Linked DNA regions of Callithrix jacchus. The protein of the gene in region 5 interacts with the protein of the main gene of each other region in a pairwise test. Links are inferred from orthologs where the notes say so. Each region holds a gene or a part of one and is shown on either strand. Other genes may lie near its edges. The genes, in order: ACSF2, RHEB, FA2H, TMEM234, CREB3, FMO3 and DNAJC30.

The links.
Region 1: the proteins of CREB3 (region 5) and ACSF2 interact in a two-hybrid assay, tested with the Homo sapiens proteins (2 studies listed by BioGRID and IntAct). The two-hybrid records come from large-scale screens. The link is inferred for Callithrix jacchus from reciprocal best matches to the Homo sapiens genes CREB3 and ACSF2.
Region 2: the proteins of CREB3 (region 5) and RHEB interact in a two-hybrid assay, tested with the Homo sapiens proteins (2 studies listed by BioGRID and IntAct). The two-hybrid records come from large-scale screens. The link is inferred for Callithrix jacchus from reciprocal best matches to the Homo sapiens genes CREB3 and RHEB.
Region 3: the proteins of CREB3 (region 5) and FA2H interact in a two-hybrid assay, tested with the Homo sapiens proteins (2 studies listed by BioGRID and IntAct). The two-hybrid records come from large-scale screens. The link is inferred for Callithrix jacchus from reciprocal best matches to the Homo sapiens genes CREB3 and FA2H.
Region 4: the proteins of CREB3 (region 5) and TMEM234 interact in a two-hybrid assay, tested with the Homo sapiens proteins (2 studies listed by BioGRID and IntAct). The two-hybrid records come from large-scale screens. The link is inferred for Callithrix jacchus from reciprocal best matches to the Homo sapiens genes CREB3 and TMEM234.
Region 6: the proteins of CREB3 (region 5) and FMO3 interact in binary tests that used the Homo sapiens proteins (3 or more experiments, as listed by UniProt). The two-hybrid records come from large-scale screens. The link is inferred for Callithrix jacchus from reciprocal best matches to the Homo sapiens genes CREB3 and FMO3.
Region 7: the proteins of CREB3 (region 5) and DNAJC30 interact in a two-hybrid assay, tested with the Homo sapiens proteins (2 studies listed by BioGRID and IntAct). The two-hybrid records come from large-scale screens. The link is inferred for Callithrix jacchus from reciprocal best matches to the Homo sapiens genes CREB3 and DNAJC30.

What each region holds. Positions count from the first base shown.
Region 1 is NC_133506.1:115,912,085-115,916,674, reverse strand, and holds the start of ACSF2 (medium-chain acyl-CoA ligase ACSF2, mitochondrial), read left to right. Parts: upstream 1-1,451; 5' UTR 1,452-1,479; coding exon 1,480-1,589; intron 1,590-2,098; exon of another isoform or gene 2,099-2,172; intron 2,173-4,590. UniProt on the Homo sapiens protein: Acyl-CoA synthases catalyze the initial reaction in fatty acid metabolism, by forming a thioester with CoA. Has some preference toward medium-chain substrates. Plays a role in adipocyte differentiation.
Region 2 is NC_133512.1:96,706,694-96,711,447, reverse strand, and holds the start of RHEB (GTP-binding protein Rheb), read right to left. Parts: upstream 3,147-4,754; 5' UTR 2,794-3,146; coding exon 2,742-2,793; intron 1-2,741. UniProt on the Homo sapiens protein: Small GTPase that acts as an allosteric activator of the canonical mTORC1 complex, an evolutionarily conserved central nutrient sensor that stimulates anabolic reactions and macromolecule biosynthesis to promote cellular biomass generation and growth.
Region 3 is NC_133521.1:32,054,038-32,058,007, forward strand, and holds part of FA2H (fatty acid 2-hydroxylase), read right to left. Parts: intron 1,488-3,970; coding exon 1,315-1,487; intron 1-1,314. UniProt on the Homo sapiens protein: Catalyzes the hydroxylation of free fatty acids at the C-2 position to produce 2-hydroxy fatty acids, which are building blocks of sphingolipids and glycosphingolipids common in neural tissue and epidermis.
Region 4 is NC_133508.1:68,824,070-68,828,039, forward strand, and holds part of TMEM234 (transmembrane protein 234), read right to left. Parts: intron 1,294-3,970; coding exon 1,201-1,293; intron 900-1,200; coding exon 841-899; coding exon of another isoform or gene 805-840; exon of another isoform or gene 242-804; coding exon of another isoform or gene 212-241; exon of another isoform or gene 126-211; intron 1-125.
Region 5 is NC_133502.1:142,640,702-142,643,197, reverse strand, and holds the end of CREB3 (cyclic AMP-responsive element-binding protein 3), read right to left. Parts: intron 2,452-2,496; coding exon 2,345-2,451; intron 2,264-2,344; coding exon 2,195-2,263; intron 1,497-2,194; coding exon 1,412-1,496; intron 1,315-1,411; coding exon 1,230-1,314; intron 1,145-1,229; coding exon 810-1,144; 3' UTR 666-809; downstream 1-665. Other genes in the region: GBA2 (non-lysosomal glucosylceramidase), read left to right, coding at 86-352. UniProt on the Homo sapiens protein: Endoplasmic reticulum (ER)-bound sequence-specific transcription factor that directly binds DNA and activates transcription. Plays a role in the unfolded protein response (UPR), promoting cell survival versus ER stress-induced apoptotic cell death.
Region 6 is NC_133519.1:31,532,226-31,536,668, forward strand, and holds the start of FMO3 (flavin-containing monooxygenase 3), read right to left. Parts: upstream 3,073-4,443; 5' UTR 3,006-3,072; intron 1,324-3,005; 5' UTR 1,318-1,323; coding exon 1,186-1,317; intron 1-1,185. UniProt on the Homo sapiens protein: Essential hepatic enzyme that catalyzes the oxygenation of a wide variety of nitrogen- and sulfur-containing compounds including drugs as well as dietary compounds.
Region 7 is NC_133503.1:10,005,326-10,009,851, forward strand, and holds DNAJC30 (dnaJ homolog subfamily C member 30, mitochondrial), read left to right. Parts: upstream 1-1,612; 5' UTR 1,613-1,620; coding exon 1,621-2,310; 3' UTR 2,311-4,029; downstream 4,030-4,526. Other genes in the region: BUD23 (18S rRNA (guanine-N(7))-methyltransferase), read right to left, coding at 1,237-1,274, 1,373-1,420. UniProt on the Homo sapiens protein: Mitochondrial protein enriched in neurons that acts as a regulator of mitochondrial respiration. Associates with the ATP synthase complex and facilitates ATP synthesis.

The DNA.
Region 1 (4,590 bases), on a different chromosome or scaffold from region 5:
TAACTAGGAAGGCACGTCCTTGTAGGCCCAGCCTCGTGTGATCTCTTTGTTCCTCTGTCTCTTCCTGCCCCAACCCCACAGAAACTGAAATGTGGGGACCCTCCCTAGGAGCTGGGCTCCAGGGGGGATTTGAGGTCACGCTCAAGATTATAAAGAGGCTCAGAGTGAACTTCTCATGACTGAAATGGAGCCAGAGTTCCCAGACAAGGGCAAAGGTTCTGTCAAGGCAGGATCCACCCCCAGCCACCCCTTCTGCCCTGTAAGGTTTACTTTATCTCCTTCCATCAGGAGAGAGGAGGTCACCCTGCCAGGGCCCTTCCCTTGTTCTTCTCCAGCTCCTTCCCTAGAGGAAAGATCATGGCTACGTGGGGCAATGCAGACCTGGAACACGTATACACTGTGCTGCTCTTTGGTGCCCAGTGCCACCTTTCCTAGCCTGGATCAGAGCTGGACTATCACCTTCTCTGTCCTGCAGCTCTGCCCAGGTCTTAGTACCCCACCTACCCCTGGGCCTCAGGAACCCCAAGGAGGGGCACAGTGTTGCTTTCTATTCACACCGGGGGTAGCACAGGGAACTGTGCCACAGGTCCCAAGACAGGCAGATGGGGGATGAAATACACAGGTCCCAGTCCCTGAGGCCACCTTACAGTGCACCGGCCCCAACCCCGTGCAGAGGGTCAAGGCAGAGGCGCCCAGGGGGGAGGGGAGGATGCCTCGTGTGAGATGGGGTACCAACTGGTGTCCCTTCTGAAGCTGAAATCTGGCCTCCGCTGGAACTCCGGCACCAGCAGGCCCGGTGGCGGCTCACAGTCGACACCCTTTGTCGCAGCTGCCTCCCCACCCCAGCGGGCCCTGTGCTCCAGTTGGCATGCCTCAAGGGCGCTTCGCGCCTGCTCCTTTGGCCTCTGGCTCGCAAGTAGCGGGCCAGCACCTGACCCGAGAGCTAAAGTGGTAGGGGATGGACAGGTCTTTTTTTTTTTTTTTTTTGAGACGGAGTTTCGCTCTTGTTACCCGGGCTGTAGTGCAATGGCGCTATCTCGGCTCACCGCAACCTCCGCCTCCTGGGTTCAGGCAATTCTCCTGCCTCAGCCTCTGGCCCCGCACGGATGTGCGGCTGGCTCTCCCTCTAGGAAATCAACAAACTTTTGCGCCTCTAAAGTCCAGGCCCCTGAGGATGGTTGCGAGGAAGATCTGTCTCAGGCTGCAGCTGGGGCCTTCAGATCCAGAGGAAACCAGGGCCATTCTTCGAGGGTGGGAGGGGGAGGGCCGCGGGGTTCAAGGGGAAGGTGGCCCTGCGCTAAGACTCCACCGCCGCGCCGCGCCACGCTCCACCCTCCCGGACCGAGTTCGCCGCACCCCATAGGCAGAGGCCACCCTCCCCGCCTCCCTGCCTGCTCCGCGCCCGCCCCGCCTCGGCTTACTTTAAAAAGTTAACTCGCGGGACGCAGGGCGAAGTGAGCAGTGGCTGTTTACGTCGGGATGCTGAGCCTGGGGAGACTGTGCGCCGGGAGCCCCGGGGTGTTGGGAGCCCGGGCTGCCCTCTTTCGGAGTTGGCAGGAAGCGAGGTTGCAGGGTGTCCGCTCCCTCAGGTACGGGGCCCCCGGGAAGAGAGGGGGCGGGGCGGTTCTCTGGGAGAGGAATTTGGGGGTCCCGCCGAGCTTAGGAAGCCCCATCTCTGGACCTCTGCAATGGGGGGTAGGTACCCACCCCTCCCTCGCCCCCCACCAGCACCTAGGCAATAGGAAAAGCTGGCTTGGCCTAGTGGACTGGGGCTTCAGTTGGTGGCTGCAGGGACTTGGAGTTCTGGTCCAAGACTCTCGATTCTCTCCTTTATGGGCACAGAGGGCAAGGAGTGTGGGCTTTCAGGAGACTATTCCGATGGGGAGGAGCAAGGGCCAAGGCCTGGGCTGTACCCTCAGGACACTGCCTCCGAGTTCTGGGCAAACTTCTCCCTTCATGGGCAAACTTGGGGATCAGCCCCAGTCTCCCCGACCCAGGCCGCTAAACTTAGCAGTCTCCTCTCTCCTTATCAGCTGCGGACTAACATAGCTTTCATTCTTTGCTACCTATTCCTGGGCCTATTTTCGTCTGTCCTCAGTGCGAGGGGTGGGATGGAAGCTGCAGATACAGGATGTGAGTTCCCAGCAGCTTCGCTGCCTCTTCAGCAGCACAGTAAGTAAAGCTGCCTTCCCGGTGTGGCCAGTCCCTGGGAGGACCCCGTGAAATTGCAAATGTGAAAGTGCATGAGTAACAGAGAGCAGGCCGCCACCCACCTATGCTATCAGCGCTGTTAGCGTCAGCACCACCATCGGGGAGCCGTGTGCACTGCTGAGCCTGTCCTACCGCCCAGCTTGGCCAGATACTAAGTCTGTGGTCAGGACACCACTGTCAACATCAGATGGGGTGTGGACCCGGACATGGAAAAGGGAGAGGAAGCCGGAACAAATCTGGGTCTCAGAGAACTAGATTTGGTTTTGTTTGGGAAAAGGCTAAGTGGGAGGAGTTGGAGGGACACACAGAGTCTTCTTGGACTGGAACCCAAGATCACACGTTTTGAACTTGCTGGTTCCTGAATGCTGGAAAGCATGCAATCACTCTGCCTAATTTGCCAGGAAACTAAGTGGAGGAAGGCTGCTCAGTAGATGGGATTGAGAGGAAGACAATGTGGTCCTCTTCCCAGTGACCCTGGGAAGTCACTCACCACTTCCTAGGGTCTCCCTAGGCAAGTTCAGCCCTCCCCTGACCCCCAAGTCGCTAATCCTCTCCCCTGGACTCGTGGGTGCCTGCTCTCAGGCTGGGAGGACTCTAAGGAAAGTTACTCCCCAAAGTGTACATATTTTATCCTACCAAATCAGGCCACAGGGGAGGCTGTCAGCCTACTCTAGCTCAGGAGTCTGCCCAATACAGAACAAACAAATAAATAAATACTAAGTCCTGCCACCTGGCAACATTTCCGACCTTTGACTTTTTTGTCTATAAACAAAATAGGTCACTTACCTGATGCAGGCCTTTGACCTCTGAGAGCACCAAGCTTCAAAGAAATTCTTATTGCTGTGTCAAGAGAAGACCCATTTAACCAGAGAGATGATTTTCTGAGTGTTTGGCCTAACTGCTTGCCATTTCTCCCACTCCCTTGTGCTTGTGCCCTTTTTGGCTGTGGTGGTTTTACCTGATTTCTCTCCTACTTTCCCCTTCAGAAGCCTCGGGGCTCAGGCCAGACATACTGGTTCAAGCCTGTAATCTCAGCACTTTGGAAGGAAGAGGCAGTGGGATCACCTGAGCCCAGGAGTTCAAGGCTGCATTGGGCCATGATCATGCCACTGCACTCTAGCCTAGGTGGCAGAGCAAAACCTAGATTCAAAAAATAAGAATAAAGGCTGAGTGGGTGGTTAATGCCTGTAATCCCAGCGCTTTGGGAGGCCCAGTTGGGTAAATCACTTGAAGTCAGGAGACCAGTTTGGTCAACATGGTGAAACCTCATCTCTACTAAAAATACAAAAATCAGCGAGGCATGATGGCATGTGCCTGTAATCCCAGCTACTAGAGTCGCTGTGGCAGGAGAATTGCTCAAACCTGGGAGGTGGAGGTTGCAGTGAGCTAGGACAGCACCACTGCACTCCAGCCTGGGTGACAGAGAGAAACTCCATCTCAAATATAAATAAATAAGAAGAAGAAATAAAGGCTGAGTGTGGTGACTCATGCCTGGAATCCTAGCACTTTGGGAGGCTGAGGCAGGTGAATCACTTGAGGTCAGGAGTTCAAGACCAGCCTGGCCAACATGGTGAAATCCCATCTCTACTAAAAATACAAAATTAGCTGGGCATGGTGGCACATGCCTGTAATCCCAGCTACTTTGGAGGCTGAGACAGGATAATTGCTTGAACCTGGGTGGCAGAAGTTGCAGTAAAAGGTTATATTGAGTATATATATATCTTTATGAGTATATGTGAATAACTAAATTATTATATATGATTATTATAGTAATAACTGTGTGCTTATATTTCTAATTATTTTCTAATTCAGTATTCATATGGGAACAGGCTGAGGCTTCAGATCCTTGCCTCAGCACTCGCGGGGTTTCCCTCCGACACCCTCCATGGCAATGGCTATGATCATATGAGACTGTAGACCTAAGGGAAAAAACCGAGGCAAAAGTTATTTAAGTAGAGAGTTCATTTGGGACAACTTTGAGGACTGCAACCCAGGAACATTGACTCGAGTTGCCCTGAATGTACGCTCTGATGAGCAGCAGTTACAAATGGGTTTTTAAAAGAAAATAAGAGGTGGTTCCTAAGTGACTTACCAAGAATGTACATTAAAATGACATAAGCTATTGATTCGCTGTACCTTGTTGTTTATATCACAAATTTTGTTAACATGAAGGTAAGGTAATCGGTGAAGCAGCTAGTCAGGAGCAAAATGCCTTTAAACAATTGCGCCTGGGAAGGGAGGGAAGTCCCACACTCGTGTCTCTCTGGGCTTGATAAATTTCGCATATCTCACATAGCTCAGACAGCTCTGAGCTATTTTTCTGTTCTTATGACCAACGAGTTAAACACACATGGAAAACTACAAAATGCTGTCTCTATT
Region 2 (4,754 bases), on a different chromosome or scaffold from region 5:
GAAGTGAGCGGACCGAGTGATTCTCAAAAGGGTGGCTTACAGAATCCTTCTGGCCAAGCCCCATCTCCTTACCCTAAGAAAGGCTGCACAAACTACACAATATCCTGGCTCATAATACCCTTTAAAATCAAATGCAGCTGATCGAGGCGGCTCACGCCTGTAATCCCAGCACTTTGGGAGGCCGAGGTGGGCAGATCACCTGAGGTCAGGCGTTTGAGACCAGCTTGGCCAACGTGGTGAAACCCCGTCTCTACCACAAATACAAAAATTAGCCGGGTGTAGTGGTGCACGCCTGTAATGCCAGCTACGTGGGATGCTGAGGCAGAGAATCACTTGAGCCCGGGATGCAGAGGTTGCAGAGCCGAGATCACGCCACTGCACTCCAGCCTGGGTGACAGAGCAGGACTCCATCTCAAAAAAAAAAAAAAAAATCAAATCAAACACAAGATTGGAAGCAACCTAACCTTTCCAAAATCGTTTAATCATGACTGCGCATGAAAATAAATATGGAGAAGTGGAGTAGGTTGCAGAAACAAGAAATACTAAAGACAGAAAATAGGGAATAAAAGTGCCCCTGTATCCCACCGGAGACCAAGTTAGCACTGTAGTTAGCACAAGCAGCATTTTAAAATAAATGTTTGTGAAGAGAAGGCTAAGGGGTGGCCTCTCATCTCAGCCCTCAGTAAGACGCTAATTAGAGGGAAGATAAAACAGAATGGATTTCAACTGGACACAAGGAACTTCTTTAGCAAAAAAAGTGATGAAACAGTAGACCTGCTCACTCAAGACTAAAGCTACCATTTCAACATTTTAAAAGGGCAAATCAAGATCTTTGGATCATTCTCTTGCATTGAAATCAGGTAGCCGCCACCATGCCCAGCTAATTTTTTGTATTTTTAGTAGAGACGGGGTTTCTCCATGTTGACTAAGATGGTCTCGATCTCTTGACCAGCTACTCAGGAGGCTGAGGCAGGAAAATTGCCTGAACCCAGGAGGCGGAGGTTGCGGTGAGCCGAGATCGCGCCATTGCACTCCAGCCTGGGTAACAAGAGCGAAACTCCGTCTCAAAAAAAAAAAAAATCAGGTAGCCGAGGTACTTGTGGCCTACACCGTGATTATCAAGGTCTACTATTTTCAAATACTTGGCAATAAATACTCGGAGGGCTCACCCACGAGCCAGGATACCTCGAGGTCCCAACTCCGCAAAATGCAGAGGAGGAAATCAAGAGTTCAGAGACAAGAGCATGGATCAGGCTGCCAATCAAGGTTGGATTCCAGGTTCCACATTGATATCTGAACAGTTAGTGACTTTGAACGCCTCCATTAGATTCGTGGTTACTTCTGGCTGCAGCGGTTAAAGCTGCCACACCTATTCATCCCTTTGGATTCAGGACTGCATCGCACAAGAGCTCCCCCCCGACCCACGACTCTAGGCATCCCGCATCTCTCAGGTAGAAGCCAAGCTTCTTTCAGCTCTTGATGCTCCCACCCCGCTACCCCCGACGGAGAGAGGTGGTAAAAGGATGAGTAAGCAGCAGAGGCCGATCTTGGTCAAAGAGCACAGCGCCTGGCAGCGGCCGTGGAAAGCGCAGCAGGGGAGTTCACCCAGTGAGCGGCAGGCAGGTACAAGGTTTCCACCGCAGTTATTGTCACCCCGTTCCGCAATCACCGGAGCCTCTGAACCCTCGCTTTCACCTCCCCATTCCCCCAACTGTGGCCCAGTGCACGTCTTCCATAGAGCTACTTCAAAACAGCACCAAAAGACGAACGTAATTCCTCCAGGCTTCCGGATGTCGGAGACAATACAGCCTCACCCTGAAGCCCGGCTAAGTTCAATCGCTCTGCTTTCTCATAGGACAGGAAACCGCTCGTTCTGTGGCATCCCGTCCGCCCCCGCAACCCGACCCTAGGCCACCGTATTCAGCAAGACCGCGGCTGCTAGGAACCGTTTCAAATGTGTATCAACCTTCCGGGGAAGAAAAAAAAAGAAAACAGAAAGACTCCAGAATGACTTCAGCAGCCTGGTTCTAAGTCCCTGACCTTATTCCTTCCCGAAGAAAAACAGGGCACCGAGAGATCAGACATTCCTTTTCCTCTGCCTGCCTGCCCCGGCCGCCAGTGGCATCTCCAGGGCCTCCAGAGCGGCCTCTTTTGGGGGCTCCCCTAGGTTTCTCAGGTAGAAACTTGCGTTCGGTGCCCAAATGTCCTCTAAGTCTCCAGTTTTCTCTCCAAGGGTAAACTTCACCACAGATGGAAGGAAGCCGAGGTGCTACTTCCTTTGTTAAAATCCCATGGACTTTCTTTTCTTTGCATCGGGGGCGGGGTGGGGGAGACCGCCAGCCCCGGTCACGCGCGCCCACGGCGAAGGCGGGGAGGCAGGTTTAAGTCCTTCCTCGCGGGAGCCTCCCGCGCGGCTCGCCGGCGCCACCTCCCTTCCCCAGACGAGCCCCACACTCGTCCGCGGCCCCCGCCCCGCGCCTCCCACGCCCTCCGCCCCGCAGCCACCTGCCTGCCCTGCCCGCGGAGGGCGCCCGGCTCCCGTAGGTCCTCGCCCCGCGCGGACGCCGCCCCGACCGCCACCACCTCCGCTCAAAATGGTGGTTACGAAACGCGCGGCCCCCGCCCGCCCCGCCACATGGCCGCGCCGGCTCCAAACTTCGCAGGCCCGGCCGCGACCCGGCGCCCAGGCGAGGCCCCAGCCCGGGCGGCGCGAGGAAGCCCCGCGGCCACCGGCCACTCACCCACAGACCGGTAGCCCAGGATCGCGATCTTCCGGGACTTGGACTGCGGCATCTTGGCGGCCTCCTCAGCCCCGGCCCAACCACATCAACCGCGGCGGCGGCGGCTCCTGATGCTGCGATCGGCGGCTGCCGCGCCGGGAAAGAGCGGCATACAGAGCAGGGGCGGCGGCGGGCGCGGCTGCCTCTCGCTCGCTCGCGCGCTCCCAACCGCCCGGAACCGACCGCGCGGCGGCGCCCCTCCCCCCACAACACGCCCACGTGACCGGCCCGCGTCAGCGGCGCCCCTTCGCGCGCCGCGGCCCGCCGCCTCCGCCCCCCGAAATACGCGGGGGGTGCGTCGGGGCGACGTTTTACTTTAAAGGGAAAAAAAGGGGACGCCGCGATGCCCCCGGAAAAGTCACGACTGAAACTCGCTGCGTCATGACCCTCCCATCTTCTTCCGCCGCTTTTTAATTACGCCATTCTCCCCGAGCGCCGATTGGGCGGCTCTTGCACAGCCGCGCGATGACGTGGCGGAAACTCCGTCTCCCATTGGGGAGGCGAAAAGGCGGGGCGGGAGAGGGTGGGGCTGCTCGCCCGGGTGCTAAAAATACAGCGCGCTGCTACCGCGGCTTTGGGCGCCTGCGAGGTTTGAAGGCTTCAAACTTTCAACCGGTTGGGTGCAAGCGGGAGAGGCGGAGAGACAAACGGTGGCTTCCTGATGATTGGCCGGGGCGGAGCGCAGGGCGGGGCAATAGGTGGGAGGCGTGGTGATTGGCGGAACGCTGAGCGGTTGTGGGGTTCGCGCCTGCTGAGCCCGTGAAGGGCGCGAGGCGCGTGGCCGGGGCGGGCTGTGGGTAGACTGGCTCCTCCCTCGGGGCTTTTTTTGAAAATTCCCCTTGTGCTGCGTTAGCGTTCGTGTCTGTGTTTGAGGATGTAGGTGGTGACTAAGCGTCACCCACGGCCGAAGGACTGTGGGAAGCATGGAGTCTGCGTTAATTCAAAGTGTTAGGAATTTCATTAAAAACAGGGCGAGCCTGTGGTTCTGGCGTCCGCTTCGCTTCGCGCGGAGCTCGACGCGCCTCCCGGAACAGCGCCAGGGCGGGAAGCCGGTTCTCCGCCAGCGCCGGGGCGGCTGGTGCGGCGGGCAGGCCCGAGCCGGGTTCCGGGAACACCTCTGGCCGCGGCGTGGGCACAGCCTTCCCAGGGGTGCGGGGCAGAGTGGCGTGGGAAGGGAGCCGGGCTGGGGACGCAGGTGCGGTTGAGGGATCAGCAGGCTGGCCGGCCAGGGGTGGTAGCTGCTGGTGGGTTTGGCGCTTGCCGAGTTAACAGAGGCTCCACCGCGCCCGGGAACCCGCTCCTGTTCTGCCCGGGCTGTTTGGCAGTGGGGACCTGCAGAGGCCGGGCAAGGCCCTTCGTCCTTTCCCAGCGAGCGGTGGGGAGGAATGAAGCCCGGGAAGCTGAGTGACAGGCCTTGGATTCCAGCGTACGAAGGTTTAGAGTGACTGGAGTCGAATTGGAACACCCAGCCCAAGGGCGACTCCCTCCAGCTTTCCCACGGAAGCACTCGGAGGACGGGCTGGGGTGTGCATTCGTGTTCTTGGGGATCTACAGATGATCCCCAGGCAGCCAGCCGGAAGTGATCAATGTCTAGAAGCTCTATGTTTTCATGAAATGTTGAGGTTTATGCTATATTTAACTATTTTAAAGCTAAGGGTCTTAAAATGCACTCTCCTGTAAAATGGTCATGTTTTTATCCTGTGGATCTGGATACCCTCACCACGGTATTTTTGAACAGATGCTACTAAACTTGCATTATAAAATCAGTTTAGTGTTCCTTAAAAAAAAAAAAATAGAAGAGAAAACTGCGTATGTCCTCATCAGTATAGCGGTGAGTTAAAAAAATGAGTAAGGCCAAGTATGTGTATGTGCGTGTGTGGATACATGTAGATCTGCTACATATGTTTGTGTATTGGGATTCATTGTAAGGTTTCTTGTCGTGGGTTGCCTCAAAAATTTTGAAAGCACTGCCCT
Region 3 (3,970 bases), on a different chromosome or scaffold from region 5:
ACATGTTCCTGATTGGAGCCCACGTGGCTACAGGCCACACAAGCTCCTCGGGTCCTCGTGGTGTGGCAGCAGGGGACTGGACAGACTGGGGTGGAAATGTCCCAGAAGAGGGAGCCTGGGATAGCCCCTGGGGCCCCAGAACAGCCTAATCAGGTCCCCAGAAGGTTCTTGTGTCCCCTGTGGATAGGAAAGATAGCTGACGGGGCAGAGGTTCTGAAAAGGCTTCACAAATGGGGAAGGAATGTAGCAGCAGATGCAGCGAGCTCTGGAGAGCAGAGGCCAGGTGAGGCTGGAGGACACAGAGCAGGCCTGGGCTGCACTGCCTCTGAGAGCATACCTGAGGGACGGGTTGGCCCAGGACTGGGCACCCACCCTGATACTGGCCCCTAGAAAAGCCCCCAAGGATGCAGATCAACTCTGAGGAGAGCTGGGAGGGCGACACCCAACCAACCTGAGAACTTTCCTAGGTGGCTGATTAAACCCTGAATCGGCTCATTGAGATGAACTAGATTAAGTTGCTGCTGGGAAACTGATGTGAAACCCACGTTCAGCATGAGCAGCATAAGGGTCTAAACCGGTATCCTGAAAGCACCATATCTGCCACATTTTCTCTGATTTACAGCCAGCAGAGAATGGAGTGTGAAGACCGGCTGGGGAACAGCACAGTGCAGGGTCAGAGAGGCCGTGAGGGGCATAGTGGAGGCAGCTTCCCCTGGACAGACCTATCTTCTAGGGCCAGCTTCTGGGACTGTCGTGGAGTCCTTGAAGGGCTTCAGGGGAAAGGGTGATTGAGAGCGCAGACTCTGGAATCCCCAGAATGGGGCAGGACATCCTAACTGCGCCAGGTGTGATGTGGGGCAAGCTCCTTAGCTCCCCAAGGCCTCAGTCTCCTGCTCTGTGGAACAGGGAGAATCCTGGCACTGTTTTCAGGAGAAGCTCCATGAGGGCAAGGCTTTTTGTTGTTTTATTCAATGATGTCTAGAACAGTGTCTCACACACGGAAGGAACTCACTGGGCATTTGCTGAATGAATGAACAAATGAATGAGTTGTTTCGAGGATTAAAGGTGATGGATAAACAGGGGTGCAGAGGGCTGTGGGTCAGCATGACTCTGCACATCCACTCTGTGCCCGCCTGGCTCAGGTTCGGATGCTTGATCCAGTTGCCCCTGTGATTCATGTCAAAAGTTTTGTCACTCCCAACCCACAGCCAGACTCCCAGGAGGCTCCGCAGCACCTGAAGCTGGTTCCGGCTGCCGGACCAGCCGGTTTGGGCTGCACTTGCTGGGTCCAGGCTGGGACCCTGCCCCGCTCACCTTGTGGTGCTGGCCGTGCATGACGAAGTGCAGCGTGATGAGGTAATAGCTGTCGCTGGGGGGCTTCATGTGGAACAGGAAGCGGTGGATGCAGTACTCGATGAGGCTCCAGAGGAAGATCCCCAGCATGAAGAGCCCAGGGAACATGGACTTGGGCACCGCCACTGCATGCTCTGCAGGGTGGCAGGGAGAGCGAGGTGAGGACTGGGGCACAGCAGCCAGGTAGCTCTAGGCGTCCACGCCTTGCCACCTCAATCAGCTTGGGAACTGCTGCCCTCTGTCCCACAGCTATGGGGCGAGGCCACATTGCTGGGGCCCTGGGGTCAAAATGGGAAGGAGGCTGCGGGGCTCTGAACTAGGTCTTGGGGGTCATTTACGGGAGTGATGGACCACTGACTGGAGGCCTCCTTACAGAGGCTGTGGGAGGAATGGCTATGACCGGGGCTGGACCTTTACCTGCAAGGGTGACCTTGCCCCAAGGACATCGGAGAAGAGAAGGTGACATTCCTGAGCCAGGGCATTGTTATTATTTTGAGACAACATATCTCTCTGTCACCCAAGTTGAAAGATTGGAGTGCTGGAGTGCAGAGGTGTGATTACAGCTCACTGTAGCCTCCCCATTCTGGGCTCAAGTGATCCTTTCACCTCAGCCTCTCAAGTAGCTGGGACCACGGGTGCACGCCACCACACCCAGCTAATTTTTAATTTTTTTTGTAGAGATGAGATCTTGCTATGTTGCCCAGGCTGGTCTCAAACTCCTGGACTCAAGCAATTATCTCGCCTTGGCCTCCCAAAGTGCTGCAATTACAGATGTGAGCCACTGCACCCGGCCTCCAGGGTGTTAATGATGGAAAGTGAAACACCAGGGACTGTGGGGCAGGAAGGACAAGAGAAAACAAGCACTGAGATCTCAACAGACAAGACCTGAAATCATAGCTCAGGAGGAATATGTGAAAACTCTGAAGATGACCGGCCTGGGTGGAGAGGGAAGACTGGAGAGGGCGCCATCTGCAAGCACAAGCTTCCCACTGCCCAGCCCTCTGGAGACAGCCTGCAGTCCTTGCCGCTTTCAGTTCTTCCCTTCACTTCATTCATTCTTTGACCTTGTGGAGATTTCAGCTCTTGCTCCTGTTTTCTCCATATTCACCCTCATCCATTTTTTTTTTTTTTTAGACAATCTTGCTTTGTCGCCTAGGCTGGAGTGCATGGCACGTAATCTTGACTCACTGCAACCTCCACCTCCTGGGTTCAAATGATTCTCCTGCTTCAGCCTCCTGAGTAGCTGGGACTACAGGTGCCCACCACAATGCCTGGCTAATTTTTATATTTTTAGTAGAGATGGGGTTTCACCATGATGCCCAGGCTGGTCTTGAACTCCTGACCTCAAGTGAGGCTGGCCTTCCAAAGCGCTGGGATAGCAGGCGTGAGCCACTGCGCCCAGCCTAGCCATTCTCTTTTAACCCGTATTCCATCTCCCACACCTGCTCCCATGAACTCTCCCCCTGGGTCATCATGGGAATCTGCCTCTGCACCCCATCCCCAAGCTGCTGAGCATGGAGAGTCACACAGTGGGTCTAGCATCTTTGACCTTTGCAAGACCCTAGACACAGCCCGAAAGGTGATCCCTGAGCATCTTCAGGTTCAGCTCCCTCCTCGCTGCGCTTGGACCTTCTCTGCTCCCCTTCACCTCCTTTCCTTCCACCCAGCCTCCTACTTCACAGAGAAGAGAGGCCCTGGGGTTGGCGGGGAGCTATCCCCTCCACATACTCCCGGCAACTTGCTTCTCAGGGAAGAGGTGTGCACCGGCACACAGGTGCTGGATGATCAGAGAAACAGCAACAGCACATGTGTCCTGACCGATTCCTGTGCACCAGGTGCCGCCCAAGGGCTTTCCATGGATGACTTCCTTTCATCTCACCACAGCCTTACAGGGAAGCCCTGGCATTGCCTGCATGAGTGAGGATGTGGACAAAGTCCATGACTTGCCAGGCTCCCCCTGCTTGGCAGTGCAAACCCTCAGCAGCCTCCTCCTACCCTCCCTCCCAAGGGATTCCTCTGGCCTCCTTTAGTCTCTCCTCTCCTGGCTCTTCTGCTCATCTTTCTGAGGTAGGCAAGACTTTCCCATCATGGACTCAGCTTCTTCATCATCAAGATTCCTAAAAAGCTAGGCTAGGCTGAATGTGGTGGCTTACACCTGTAATCCCAGCACTTTGGGAGGCTGAAGTGGGAGGATCGCTTGAGCCCAGGAGTTGGAGGCCAGTCTGGGCAATACAGTGAGTTCCCACCTCATCAAAAAGTAAGAAAATTAGCAGGGCGTGGTGGCCCATGGCTTTAGTCCCAGCTACTCAGGAGGCTGAGGCAGGGGGATCACTTGAGCCCAGTAATTGAAGCCTGCAGTGAGCTGTGATTGCACCACTGCACTCCAGCCTGGATGACAGAGCAAGACCCTCCTGTCTCAAAGAGCTAAAAAGAAAACAAGAAAAAAAAGTGAGGCTGGACTCATGGCTCCACTTTGTCACTTTCCATTGGCTTGTCAAGTTCTTAAAATCTGTATCCTGGCCGGGTGTGGTGGCTCATGCCTGTAATCCCAGCACTTTGGGAGGTCAAGGTGGGCGGATCACGAGGTCAGGAGTTCAAGACCAGCCTGAATAACAAT
Region 4 (3,970 bases), on a different chromosome or scaffold from region 5:
CAGCCTTCCCTTCCTCTGAGCAGGGCAGCCCTGGCTGTGGGGGCTACTTCCTTATGGGATTCTCTGGCCAGAGAAAGTAGCTGGCTGAGCCTGGAAGAGGCCACAAACGTGGGAGCAGGTTTGTCACAATAAAATAGTAATGTATTAACCTCTGTCTACCACAGATTTATTGACAGCTACTACTCTCCAGGTGTTGTGCTGGGTGCTGGAGTTAGGTGGCGCTGGGGCTCACAGCTGCTACCTGTTTAAGAGAGGCTGGCAGTGAGGATTTCTGTCCACCTCATGGGTGGGGCAGGCAAGGCTAATAGCTCATCTCCTGCATCTGCCACTCTGAGGCACCTTCCTCCCCTCAGTTCCACCCCTCAGTCAGCCAAGGCGCTCTGACTGAGCCCTGGAGGCCTCCTGTTTGCTTTCTGGCTTGGTCTGTAGCTGGCCTTTTCCATGCAGCTGGGGTTCTGCAGTCCATGGAAACTGCCACCATGATAGTCCAGATTAGGCCACATAATGGTGGCTTAACTGGGGGCCTGAGATGACAGCAGGAAGAGAGATGCTGGGGCAGAAAGGTTGCTGAGGGTGAAGCGTCGAGTCTCCTGTGCTAAATCCCAGTAGGTGAACAGCACTTGAAGGTTATAAAACCCTTTCACTCTTGTTCTCTTATTGTGATCCATGAGGTAACTGTTATCCCCATAAGAGGAGGAAGCTGAGGCCAGAGATGGGAGGTGCTAGGTCCATCTGCTCACTGCCAGCACTTCATGGCCCAGGGGCTTCCAGGAGGCAGCAGAGCTGGAAATGGGTTCGGCCCACTCAAAGGGTAGACGGTTGCCCCTGGGTCTTACTCACTGAGCTTGTGATGCAGAGTGAAATTCCTGTCACGGTGAGCACCATGCCAGCGACTGCTCCTGGGATAATGGACAGAAATCAAGGGGTTCTGAGCTCAGCCATGCCAATAAGAGCTGGTACAGGGCTGTAAGAAGGGCTCAGATGGGGTCTGGTCCTGGGTCCCACCCCAGCCTCTGTCCCCAGACTGTCCAGGGGAAGGGAACTCTGATGGCCACAAGGAAGCAGGACAGCTGCAGAGGAAAAGGCAGGATGGGAAGAGGCCCTGTCCTCACCCATTCCAGGGAGATGGGTTCTGGGAAGGAACACAGGTATGTTGAGGCCCAGATAGCTGCATCCCACATTCGCAGTAGCCTGACTTACGTTTTCCACCAATATCTTCTCCAAGGGCCTTCCCAACAATCAGTGTGAAGATGATGGCCAGAGAATTACAGATGGGTACAGCTAGGGTCAGATCTGGGTGGTCAGAATGAAAAGAATCCCTGAGATGCAACAAATGCTTTTTTTTTTGAGATGGAGTTTTGCTGTTGTTACCCAGGCTGGAGTGCAATGGCGCCATCTCGGCTCACTGCAACCTCGGTCTCCTGGGTTCAAGCAATTCTCCTGCCTCAGCCTCTGGAGTAGCTGGGACTACAGGCGTGCACCACCATGCCCAGCTAATTTTTGTATTTTTAGTAGAGATGGGGTTTCACCTTGTTGACCAGGATAGTCTCGATCTCTTGACCTTGTGATCCACCCGCCTCGGCCTCCCAAAGTGCTGGGATTATAGGCGTGAGCCACCGTGCCCAGCCAAGAAATGCCTTTCTAAACACAAGACACTTCCCATCATCATCATTTCATATATTTAAAGAAGGTATTATAACCCCATCTTCCAGATGAAGTCACAGCACATTTCAGGATTCAGACCCAAATATTCTGACTCCATGTTCAGTGGTTCCCCAGGATTCCAGCATTCCCCAGGATTCCTGAACTCTGAGGTCTGATACCAGCCTGGTTTGATAATGAGAATGAGGTCTTTGCACTCAAAAAGAACTTGTGAAATTTCAAGGACATCTGGACACGTAGGCAGGCACCCAAATCCCAAAGGATGCAGTAGAGAGTCAAGTAACACCAAGCACAGTCACCATCTATTTTTTTCTTTTCTTTGAGACAGAGTCTTGCTCTGTCACCCAGGCTGGACTGCAGTGGTGTGATCTTGGCTCACTACAGCCTCTGTCTCCTGGATTCAAGGGATTCTCATGCCTCAGACTCCTGAGTAACTGGGATACAGGTGCCTGCCACCATGTCGTGCTAATTTTTCCATTTTTAGTAGAGATAGGGTTTCGCCATGTTGGACAGGCTAGTCTCAAACTCCTGACCTGAGGCGATCCGCCCACCTCAGCCTCCCAAAATGCTGGGATTACAGGTGTGAGCCCCAACACCTGGCCATGTAGCCACCATTTATTAAGCATATACCATGGCCTAGGTGCTCTTTGTACATATTTCAATTTTCATAACACTGCAAGGAAGGGATTATCACCATTTTGCATAAAGGAAACTAAGGCAAGTTGAGGATTTAAACTGAGGTTTGTCTGACTCCAAGGTCTGCACTCTTATTGAATTAAATGGATATGGACAAAGCAGAACATCAGCTGAAGCACATTTTGTTTGTTTCAGCCCAAGCTCAGGCTTTATGGAGTTAAAAATAAAAGAAAGTGTCAGAAGAAAGAAGCCTGGTACCTGTTCAGGACATTGGGCTGGACCTATGGTGTGGATAGAGGGTATCATAGCTCAGGATCTGTTCTTTAATTTTGAAGTTCCAGGGGGCTGACTGCCAATAAGCAAACTTGAAAAAGAGTAATGGAGTTGGCTGGGTGTGGTGGCTCATGCCTGTTAATCTCAGCACTTTGGGAGGTGGAGGTGGGAGGACTGCTTGAGGTCAGGAATTCCAGACCAGCCTGGCCAACATGCTAAAACCCCATCTCTACTAAAAATACAAAAAACTATGAAGGAACAAAGCAGGCACCAAAAAAAAAAAAAAAAAAAAGAAAAAAAATACAAACATTAGCCAGACTTGCTGGCACATAATCCCAGCTACTTGGGAGGCTAAGGCATGAGAAGTGCTTGGATTCAGGAGAAGGAGGTTGCAGTGAGTCGACATCAAGCCACTGCACTGCAGCCTAGGCGACAGGGCCAGACTCCATCAAAAAAAAAAAAAAAAGAGGGGAGAAAAGAAAAAGACTAATGGAGTTAACTTAAAATTTGTTGAGGGTAGATCTCCTGTTAAGTGTCCTTATCACATTAAAAAAAGAGCCACATACATATAAAAAAAGACCAACAGACAAATCAGCTGAGTTATCCATGGTAACAAGACTCAACTGCAGACCAGATGCTCACACTGGCTCCTCAGCACCCTCTTTCCCAGCACTCCCAGGCCTTGCCTTTGTGAGGCAGAGAAGGGAACTGTCCTGCTCCTCATCCCCTGGGAGACCCCGGCATAGAGGCATTACCCATCTAAGAAATTGATATAACAACCCCACCTACAAAGAGTTGTTTTTGTTGTTGTTGTTTTTCATTTTTGTTGTTTTTGAGACAGGGTCTCACTCTGTTATTCAGGCTGGAAGTGCAGTGGTGAGGTCACTGTTCACTGCAGCCTCAACCTCCTGAGCTCAAGTGATCCTCCCACCTCAGCCTCCTGAGCAGCTGGGACTACAGGCACAGACGACCAAGCTCGGGTAATTTTTGTATTTTTGTTGTTGTTACTTAGGCTGGGCTCCTAGGCTCAGGTTATCTGCCCACCTGAGCCTCCCAAAGTGCTGGAATTACAGGCCTGAGCCACTGTGCCTTGCCCAGAGCTGCCTTCTTAAGTTTACATACCTTACAAGGAGTGTCATGGCTGTTAAGGTCTGGTTTGCAGCAGTAGATGAGGGAAGGAAGCAGCATGGTGCAATGGGAGAGTGAGGGCATCAGAGTGAGGCAGATCTGAGTTTCCCTTGTAATCTTGGTTAGGATATTCAAACACTTACCTTGTTTCCCCACATGTAAAATAGTGATCGCAGTATACCATTTCTTTTGTTGGGTTGTTGTAAGATGAACTGTGATAATGCATGGATAGTCCCTGGCTAAAGTGGATGCTTCATAAATAGTGACTATT
Region 5 (2,496 bases):
GACTCTACTGTCTCCATCTATCTAGTGGAAGTGGCTATTCAGAGGATGCCAAGTTAGTATGTATAACTGTCATCTCTCCCAACAGGGCCTGACTTGGGAGGGCTTCCAGACAGCTGAAGGCTGCTACCGTACCGTGTGGGAGCGCCTGGGTCTGGCCTTCCAGACACCAGAGGCATACTGCCAGCAGCGAGTGTTCCGCTCACTGGCCTACATGCGGCCACTGAGCATCTGGGCCATGCAGCTAGCCCTGCAACAGCAGCAGCACAAAAAGGCCTCCAGGCCAAAAGTCAAACAGGACACAGGACTAAGGACAGGGCCTATGTTTGGACCAAAGGAGGCCATGCAAACCTGAGCCCAGAGTGAGCCCTCTGAACTGTGGGAGGGAAGCACTAACATCCCAGCCTCCAGCCTGGCCTTTCCTCCTTCCCTTCTGAACCTCCTGCAGCCCTGAGCCATCAGGACAATCATACCCTTTCCCTTCTCCCCACCCAACTGTGCCAGTAAATGGGGGTTGGGGGTAACCCAGGCAGCATTGGAATCACTTATTTATTTATTTCCTCACCCCTTCCCTCACTGTGTGAAATGTTCAGCGAGGTCAGTTGATTTCCCCAGGTACATTCATGGGGTGACAGACACATGGCTACAAATAATAAAAGACCCAGAAAGCCAGTAAATGTGGTGTATTTGAGCCCTCAGTCTTTCTGACAGGGCACAGAATCTGCAGCCAGCCCTCGCCCACCCATTTTTATTCAGACACAGATGGGGAGCCCACCAAGCTCTTGCTGAGACCCCTCCACATATCCTTGTATCTAGCCTGAGTATCTGTCCTGCAGGATGACAGAGGGGCTATAGGTAGAAAGCCTTACCCCCTTTCTTGTGAGATTTGCCTGCAGAAGGAGGATGGGATCTCGGCAGAGAGGCTCTGAGAAGAGGTCAGGGAATAGCCACTCCAGGGGACGCTCTGCCCTGAGAGCCTGAGACATGTAGTGTAGCAGGCAGGAAGAGTTGCCAGGGACCTGGAGTACATGGTCTGAGCCGTCCAGCCACTGGTGTGTGCTGTCTTTCAGCACCTCTGACTGCAGGGTAGACAGCTCCAGCTGGTAAGGGTCCTCACTGGGGAGGGCACGAAGCTGGCGGAACAACACTGAGGAGACAAAGGAGACAATCTTCAGAGGCCAACCCAGGCTCTCCCCTTGCCCATGCCTGAGAGCTATCCTTAAGCCTCTTACCTCCATGCTCAGCTGGCAGGCTCTCTCTTGTGTCAGAGGAGTACATAGCAGGTACAAGGAGGAGGCAGAAGGAGAATAGCAGGACCTAGAGCACAGGAAAAAGGAGATGAAGAAGGGCTCTGGACTGCACTGCTGTCCCTACCAACTAAGCAAAGGATTTCTCCCCTCATCACCATCCTCACCAAGACACAGGTGCTGCTGCTACTGGTTTTGTTTGATATCGCAATCACCATGGCCTGGAGTTTCCTCAGTTGATCTAGAAGGGACCTAGAGGAAAAGGGGGGCCAGTGGTGAGCATCCTCTGGCCTGGCACCCTAAGACACAATGAAATTCCTATTCAGGACACCTCCATCTCTGCACTGGATCCTCTCTCTTATTTTCATTCTATTTTTGCAAATGACTTCTTCCTCTCTGTGGACAAAGTGCCTGAAGTTCCTCGTTAAAACAAAACAAACAACAAAAAACAAAAAAACTTCTCTGCCCTGACTTAACCTCCTTTGCAAATATCATCAGTAGTTCCCCATTGTCTGATCAGCTATGCATATAATCCTCACCAGGCATTCTCTGTGTTCTCTACTTTCTGGCCCAGCTCACCTGTGTTAAGAGTTCTAGCCCAAGAGGACTATGTTGTATTCTCTCTGCCTAGAATGCTTTCCCATGGATTCCCAACTCCAGAATCCTAACTACTATCAAAGTCCATGAGGTCTTTCTTACCCTCTTTCTCTTTCTTGGTACTTATTCTTAGTTACTTATAAATGTATTCCCCCCTACTGTATTCTTAGTTACTTGTAAATGTATTCCCCACTACTATGAGCTTCTTGGAATCAGAGACCTAGTGAAGGCCAGGCACCAGACCTAGCATTTGAGAGCTGCCCAGTTAGAAATCAAGTGTAAGGCAAGGGAAAAAAAGTGAGAAGGCATTAAATGAGGGGCACAAGAAGGCAGTGGTTTGGAGGGAATCTTACAAATTCTGTTCCTCCAGAAGCTGTACTTTGTTCTGAAGCTCCATATTCTGGGCTGTGTATTTCAAGACCCTGGGGGAAATAAAGATATGGGTATATGACCTGTATCCTCCCTTCAAAAATCTAACAACTGAGTCTCTCTCCCTTTCATACCTGCTCTCTAAACCCCCAACATACACCTTCTTCTTCCTGCGGCTCTCTTGAGCAGATCTTTTATTTCGAATCTTCCTTCGCACACGTTTCAGAATTTGTTCCTCCATCTGAAAGCAAACAGGGAAAGGGATACCATGAGAGGGACTCTAGAC
Region 6 (4,443 bases), on a different chromosome or scaffold from region 5:
CAGATGTTGGTGAGAATGTGGAGAAAAAGGAACACTGTTGGTGGGAATGTTAACTATAGTTAACTATAGAAAACAGTATGAAGATTTCTCAAATAATTAAAAACAGCACTACCATTTGACCCAATAATGCTGCTGCTAGTTATCTACCCAAAGGAAAAGAAGTTGATATATAAAAAAGATTCCTGCATTCATATGTTTATCACAGCAGTATTCACAATAGCAAAGAAATGAAATCAACCTTGTCCAACAAGGATGACTGAATAAAGAAAATATGGTATATACATACATACATATATATACACACACACACACAGAGACACATATGTATATATGCACACACCATGGAATACTACCCAGCTATAATACAGAATGAAATTATGTCTTCTGCAGCAACATGGATGGAAATGGAGGCCATTATCTTAAGTGAAATAACTCAGAAACAGAAAGTCAAATACCACATGTTCTCTCCCTTATGATTGGGAGCTATATCATGTATACACATTGACATAGAGTGTGGGAATAATAGACATTGGAGACTTGAAATGGTGGGAGAGTCGGAGGGGGTTGAGGTATGAGAAATTACTTAATGGGTACAGTGTACATTATTTGGGTGGTAGGAAAACAAAAAGCCTAGACTTCACTGCTACACATTATATCCATGTAATAAAACTGCACTTGTACCCCCTAAATCTGAAAAAAAATGTGAAAAATTATTGTGTTTTAAATGAGTAAATCATTTAATTATAATTTAATTATAAACCTAACTAATATTTACCATGAATTTTATGTCCAAGTGGCTCTTACTAATGATCTACCAAGGGAGAATTCTGTAACAGAGAATTCCTTTTTTTTTCTTTTGAATTGTTGGTTTTTATTTATTTTATTATTATTTTTTAATATATATTTTTTATTGTACTTTAGGTTCTGGGGTACACGGGTACATGTGCCGATCATGCAGAATTGTTGCATAGGTGTAACAGAGAATTTCAAAGCCCATTATGTAATTTACTTCTGACTTGCAAGGAGGTCACTTTCCAACCTGCTCTTAACACTGTGCTTAGTGGATTCCAATTCTAACAGATATGATAATTGCCATGGCAGCAGGTTTGGAAACGTGTGCACACAGCGTGTTCTTATATACTTCCCAACCTATTCCCCTGTTTATTACAACAACATGCTACTCACTGAAAATTTCCACAGGCCCCCAATGTCATTGCTCTTCTCAAAGCAGGTGGGCTCCAGTCCTTCCTCCAGACAGCTTCTGATGGAGGCCAAGCCACTCACGCCAGCTCCAATGATGGCCACTTTCTTCCCCATGGTCACCTGTGCAAAGGCCCAGAGAAAAATTCCAGCAACAACATGACTGAAAATTTATTACCTATTTATCTATTTATTTTGATTTCACTCTTAGGCCTAATAAAACTTTACTTTTTAAGAAACACCAGCTGAGTATGATAGTTCACGCCTGTAATCCTGGCATTTTGGGAGGCTGAAACGGGAGGATCACTTGAGCCCAGGAATTTGAGACCAACCTGAACAACAGAGTAAGACCCTGTCTCTACAAAAAAAAAAATCAGTCAGCTGGGTGTGGTGGCATATGCCTGTAGTCCCAGCCACTCAGGAGGCTAAGGCAGGAGGATCACTTGAGTTTAGGAGTTCCAAGCTACAGTGAGCCATGATTTTACCACTGCACTCCAGCCAGGGTGACAGAGTAAGAACTTATCTCTAAAAAACAAACTCCTTTAGTAATCTAACTACATTTTCATTTATCTCTAATTTCTAAAGAGAAAGTTTTCTTCTGAAAAAAATAAGCACTTTGTTTTTAGTCATCAGCTTTCCAAAATTAAGAGACTGATGGCACAGCGTACATATTTATCCTTTTTGCTTTTGGACTTGGTAATTTACTGTCTACAAAAATGAGTAAGCAGAAGAAATAAAAGAAGATTCACAACTAAAACACATGTAGACACATCCACCCACCACCCATATACATATGCATGTATATGGGAATGAAGAAACAAATCTATATGTATGTATATTTGTACACACACACATACATTCTGTACCTTCTTTCTATTTTGATAAAGATAATGAGGAACAAGATCTGAAGATGTCTGTATTTCAGTGTGCCTGTAGTCCCAGCTATTCAGGAGGCTAAGGCGGGAGGATCACTTGAATTTAGGAGTTCTCCCGACCAGTAGTAGTCCCAGCTACTCTGGAGCTATATATTCCTGTTGAGGCAGGAATATCGCTTGAGCCCAAAAGTTTGAGGCTGTGGTGAGCTATAGTTGTGCCACTGCACTCTAGCCTAGGTGACAGAGTAAGATCTTATCCCAGTGAAAAAAGAAAGTCAAGTTCTTACCTAAAAATAATCTTTTCCCGCTACCTTCAACCTCCTTTCTCCTCTAAGAAAATTACATTTCCTAACTTTTTCTGTTCCTGACACTGTCTTTAGGTTCTACTACTACTTCTCTCACTTTTTTTTCCTTTGTAGACAAAATCACATAGCTATGCAAAGAAATAGACTTGGATGATAAAAATCATGATCCATGATTCCCAGATAAACAAACTGCCTGAATTATGTCACTCTTATTCTAGCTACGTTCCATATAAAACTACAGCATTTTCCTCCTTCATTTACCCATCTCATCCTCAGCCCTTTACTATATCACCCTCCCTCCCTCCCTCCCTTCCTCCCTTCCTCCCTTCCTTTCTCTCTCTTCTTTTCTCCTTTTCTTTTCTTAAGATGGAGTTCTGCTTTTGTTGTCTAGGCTGGAATGCAATGGTGCCACCTCGGCTCACTGCAACCTCTGCCTCCCAGGTTCCAGTGATTCTCCTGCCTCAGCCTCCCAAGTACCTGGAATTACAGGCACACATTACCATGCCTGGCTAATTTTTGTATTTTTAGTAGAGACTGGGTTTCACCATGTTGGCCAAGCTGGTCTCCTACTCCTGACTTCGGATGATCCACCCACATCGGCCTCCCACCTTTTTTATTTTCCTACCCGTTCTTTGTCTTCTTTTCTTCTGTATGTCTATGTCCTGTCCAACTGTCTGGGCAGTTTGAAAGAGAAAATGCTCTAGTGAGCCCACACATTAGGAAGATTGTTGGAAAATGGGAGGAGCTGCTCTTAAAGAGATAGTCATTTCTTGGTCCTCAAATGGGTGAGCACCAACTCTCTGTGGTGGGTGGGACTCTAGGCCAGTCTCCCATGGTCACCCAGTTTCTGCTTTTCCTTTGGTTATAGTAAACACAAGCTGCTGTTTATACACTTGGACCCTTGCCCTCGGAGTCAAGGAATTTCTCCCAAGCGGTTCTCTCTTCCATTTCATCATGTGTTATTTCAAAGTTTACCTTGTTGTCCTTATTTCTAGTTATTTTGTGGGTACCTCATATTAGCCCTCCAAATATTGTAGAAACTTACCTACTTAATTGAGATAGCCCAGTAGGGAGGATGACTTTCTCTGCTCTCTCTTTTTAAGTTCTGCATTTGGAATTTTGGGGTCAAAGGCCTGTATTTCTCAAGCTTGTATTTATATGTTTCTGAGGAAAGTGTGTGGTCAGGGAAAAAGTCATATTGGCAGTAAAACAAAATAGATTGCACCTAACTCTCAGTCATGACATATAGTGAAATTGCAAAAAATTGTTCTCCTATCAACTATATTTCTATGTCACTTAGAATTATGACATGTCATTCATTTTATCTAGTTAACCCTTTCATTAAGGAGGTGATACTTAGCATAAACTGGTATATGTCTGATTTTGAGGAATTACCCTTTATGCCTTTTGAAGACAGTAATCTTCATCTCTAAAGTGTGTGTATGAGAGATTTCAAATCACTTGTAAAGCTCTGTGGCTTTGGGCAAGTCACTTAACCTTTCCAATTCTTGGTTTACTCATTAATAAAAATGGGGATAACTACACTATTAGCCTCTGTCTGGCTATATTTTTTTTTAACAAGGATTAGAAAATTAAAGGATATATACATATAAATACATTTATACATATGTACATATAAAATGTGGCATGTAGTTAAAAATGAGCAAATATAACTTGTAGAAAAAATTAAAAACAAGTCATAGATTCATGAAATTTTCTAGGGCTACAATTCAGATGACATGATTTTCTCTGCTCTCATTTTACATGGAACTCCTTTACAGTTTTTAACGCTACACAAATAGCATTAAAATAATGCAAAGAAAAGATTGTGAATACTTTATGAAGCAATACTATTCCTATAGCCTTATTAATTTAAGGACAGGCGGGACACACCCAATTCCTCCTTGGCCTCTGATGTTTCATCTCTCTAGGAGGTGAAAAGGCTGCCTGTTCTTCGCTGGAATATATTTTATCTGTAGTAGACACATTCATTAGCCCTGTCTCCTTTCAGCCTATCCTTTGATTGCCAGAGCTTTCTGCAGAGCCCCTTTGTAAATCTTCAG
Region 7 (4,526 bases), on a different chromosome or scaffold from region 5:
CTCTGTCACTACAAAAATTAAAAATAATTGGGTGGATCATGAGGTCAGAAGATTCAGATCATCCTGGCTAACACGGCGAAACCCTGTCCCTACTAAAAATACAAAAAATTAGCCAGGTGTGGCGGCATGAACCTTTAGTTCCGGCTACTAGGGAGGCTGAGGCAGGAGAATCACTTGAACCTGGGAGACGGAGGTTTGCAGCGAGCTGATATCTTGCCACTGCACTCGAAGTGGCGAAGAATGAGAGACCCCGTTTTAATTTAAAAAATAAAATAGGCCGGGTGCTGCGGCTCACGCCTACAATCCCAGTACTTTGGGAGGCCGCGGCGGGCGGATTCACCTGAGGTCAGGAGTTTGAGACCAGCCTGACCAACATGGAGAAATCCTGTCTCTACTAAAAATACAAAAATAGCCGGGCATGATGGCGTGTGCCTGTTATCTCAGCTACTCAGGAGGCTGAAGCAGGAGAATCGCTTGAACCTGGGGGGTGGAGGTCGCGGTGAGCCGAGATCTTGCCATTGCACTCCAGCCTGGGTAACAAGAGCCAAACTCCATCTCAAAAAATCATAGGAAGCAGCCACGAGTGGCGGCGGGCGCCTGTGGTCCCAGCTACTGGGGAGGCTGGGGGGGGGCCACCGACACCCGACTAATTTGTTTTTTGCGGAGATGGGGTGGGGGGGGGGTCTTGCTGCGTTGCCCAGCCTGGTCTCAAACCCCAGCGGAAGCAATCCTCCCGGGAGGCCTCACCCTCCCAAAGCCCTGGGACTGCTGGGATTACAGGCGTGGGCCATCCCACCTGACCTCAAGTCTGTAGTTGCACAAACCACCCTCTAGGAAATTCAGACAGTACCACACCGACGGCCGTCGTGGAGACTTACTGGCAAACAAGGCGCCGGGATAAGCACCCTACGGACATTACTTCCTTCCCCCCCACTAGGACTGACCCCTCGCCAGGACCCACCGCCCACATGCTTAGGACAAGCTGTTACACACTCGACTTTGAAAACCACCCACGGAAAGCAGGCGCGATCCCCTCTACCTCAACACTGAGGCACCGAGGCCCAGAGACGTCGGTAATTTAAAGGTGATTTACCAAAGACCGAAATGGCACCCACCCGGGTCCTTCCTTCCCCGCACCCCCAAATTCTACGGGCTTTCCGAGCAACGCCCGCAACCCGGGCAACTTGCCGCTTCCCGACCCCCGGACGCCGCGCAGTACTCCGGGGCTCCCCTCACTTGGAAACGTATTTCCGGGCTTCTTTCTTGTCATAAAACTGGGAAAAAGAGAAAAAGAAATGGCAGGTGGAGAAGGAATTCAGACGCCGCGGCCGTAGAAATGGGGAGACGGGTGCCCGCTGACCCCAGAACTTACCAGCTCCGGGGGGCCGCCGTGCTCCGGACGCTGGCCACCAGACGCCATCCTCACTCCTCAGCGGCACGCCTGCAACTGGCGTTTCCCGGAGCGAGCGCGGCTTTTATGTCATCAGCCGGCGCCCGCCTAATAATACGCATGCGCCACCCCCTCTTTCGCCCTCCTCTTTACCTGATTGGCTACAGGGCGACCAACCGGCGCCTCCCATTGGCCAGTTTCTCTTGCCCCGCCTGCCGAATCAATTCAAGATGGCAGCCAAGTGTGGGTTGTTGTTTCCACGACTGTTAACGTGGAGGTTGCTACAGGCCCGTGGCTTTCCACAACGTTCTGCACCCGGCCCGGGCCTAGGAGCGAGGCTTTATTCCCGGGGCGACTCTTCGTACTCGCGCACAGCGCTATATGATCTCCTTGGCGTCCCCTCCACAGCCACGCAGGCCCAAATCAAGGCGGCTTACTACCGTCAGTGCTTTCTCTACCACCCGGACCGCAACTCCGGCAACGCCAAGGCTGCCGAGCGCTTCACCCGCATCTCCGAGGCCTACGTGGTTCTGGGCAGTGCCACCCTCCGTCGCAAGTATGATCGCGGCCTGCTCAGCGACGAGGACCTGCGCGGACCCGGCGTCCGGCCCTCCAGGACGCCCGCAGCCGACTCCGGCTCGCCGCGTCCCCCGCCGCCCACCTCTCGGACCCACAGCGGTTCTTGGACCGCCCCCGACGCCAACCGCACGAAGTTCAACTTTGACGCCTTCTACCAGGCCCACTACGGGGAACAGCTGGAGCGGGAACGGCGCCTGAGGGCCCGGCGGGAGGCTCTTCGCAAGCGACGGGAATCTCTGGCCCTGACCAGCCGTCCCTGGGAGGACATCCGAGACACGGGTGTCGTTTTCTTCCTCTTCGGAATCTTCATCACCATTGTCATCGTTGGCTTTTATATTTAGCGGGAGAGAGGAAGGAAGGGGAGCGTCCCCAGCCAGCCCCCAGAAAACGGCCTTTTTTCCTGCCCCAGAATTCTTGGCCATTGATAGCCTACCTCAGCTGGGATCCGAAGGAACTGTGCTCCCCCTCCCCTCCCGGACCCACCCAACATAGCCGATGACCTGCACATCCCTTCCCTATGGTCCAGAAAAGGAGGCCTCATATGCCTGAGAAAGAGGCCCCACGCTAAAGAGTCCCGAGAGCTCACGAGTGAGGGGTCCCTGGAGTCTCCAGGGTGCTTCTTCCAGAAGTTGCCTTCCTGCTTCCAGATGTGGCTAACTTCTGTAACACTCGCTGTAGCTTGATTGTAAAGCCTCGGGCAGGATTTATCTGCTCCTGCCCCGCGTGTGTACGGTGGGGCTCCTCTGTAACCTTGAAATGTGCAATGTGACCATTTGTTGGCTGCCAAAAGAAAAGGTCTGGGGTTGTACCAAACTTGTCTTTCTGTGAGTTCCCCAAGCGGCAGGTGAGACCTGGTCCAGGGTAAGAATGGGGTCTGTGGACAGCCTGCCATTCCTCCCTCTAAAGTCAGCCCCCTGGGGCACTCCCCTTTCTGTTGATAGCATGTGGGAGTGAGGAAACAAGGTCACTGAGCATAAGGAATGTGTGTTCCTGGGCCCATATTAATGTGTGACCTTGGAGAAGTTACTCTGTGAGCCTGACAGCAGAGGAGAGAATCATTTGACATTGTTTTGTTTGTTTTTGTTTTTCAGAAGGGGTCTCGCTCTGTTGCCCCGGATGGAGTGCGGTGGTGCAATCTCGGCTCACTGCAACCTCTGCCTCCTGGGTTCAAGCTATTCTCCTGCCTCAGCCTCCTGAGTAGCTGGGATTACAGGTGCCTGCCAACATATCGAGCTAGTTTTTGGATTTTTAGTAGAGAGGGGATTTCACCATGTTGGCTAGGATGGTCTTCAACTCCTGACCTCAGGCAATCTGCCCGCTTCAGCTTCCCAAAGTGCTGGGATTTCGGGTGTGAGCCACCTTGCCTAGCCTATTATCCATTGTTCTAATCTGTGGGGATTATAGCATGATGCTAGCAGGGCCGCCTTCATCCTTGGGACAGTGTGGCTGTCCCCTGGCCCTCCTTTTACCAGCCAACCCCATTGCACACTGTGCAGCCCAGCCCCTCCCAGAAATGGAATGCCAGACTCCGTGCTTGAGTCTCCTGCTGCTGTTTAACTTGCAGTGCTTATCACAGGCCCTGCGTGAACCTTTGAAACAAGGCTGCTTGATGCTGGGGTAAACTTTGGGACTTTGGGAGTAGACAGGACTACGGAGGGATGGGGGCCTTGCTGTTCAAGGTGGCGACTTGGTTCTTTATGCAGAGCTGACTAAAGGCGTGGTTTCTTTCCCCTCTGTTTCATGTTAACTAGTTGCTCATCGTTTGGTCAGAGCTGCTGCTGAGCGCTCTGAACTGTGAGTCACTGGACATTGGCAGTGAGCTGGCGGTGAGATTGTAGGTGCTCGAGTGTTTACGCACAGGACTGAGTGTAAATCTGTAAAAAGGGAAAATCCTCGCAAGAGGTCTACGAGATGGATGAGGGCCCAAGTCTAGGGTCTAAACAAAGCCAGGAGTGGTTTGATGTACTACTGAGGGCCATAATTGCGTGCAATCCCTGTACTCAATGTGTTGTGTAAAATCCTTATGTAAAATGGGATAAACCCACAGCTGGTCCTGCTTAGCCTCTTGAAAACCATTCCATTATTCTATCCTGAAAAGAAAAAAAAAAAAAAAAAAATATATATATATATATATATATTTGATTGTCTCTTGCCTTGGAGAGTGGGGGTATACTCCTAGTCAGGGCTTTGCAGTGACCATATGATTCAGTAATGAAGATCTGGGGCCTGGCACAGTGGCTCACGCCTGTCATCTAAACACTGGGAGGCTGAGGCAGATGAATCGCTTGACCTCAGAAGTAGGGAGACCAGCCTGGGCAACACGGCAAAACCCCACCTCTACAAAAATTAGCCAGGTGCGGTGGCAAATGCTAGGTGTGGTAGTTAGTCCCAGCTACTCGGGAGGCTAAGGTGGGAAGATGGCTTGAGCCTGGGAGGCTGAGGTTGCAGTGAGGTGCCATCCCGCTGCTGCATTCCAGCCTGGGCAACAAAAAAAAAGAAAACAAAGAGATTTGAGCCCGGTCTGGTTCAGACTTGTCTGGTTCAGTCAGCCTGGACT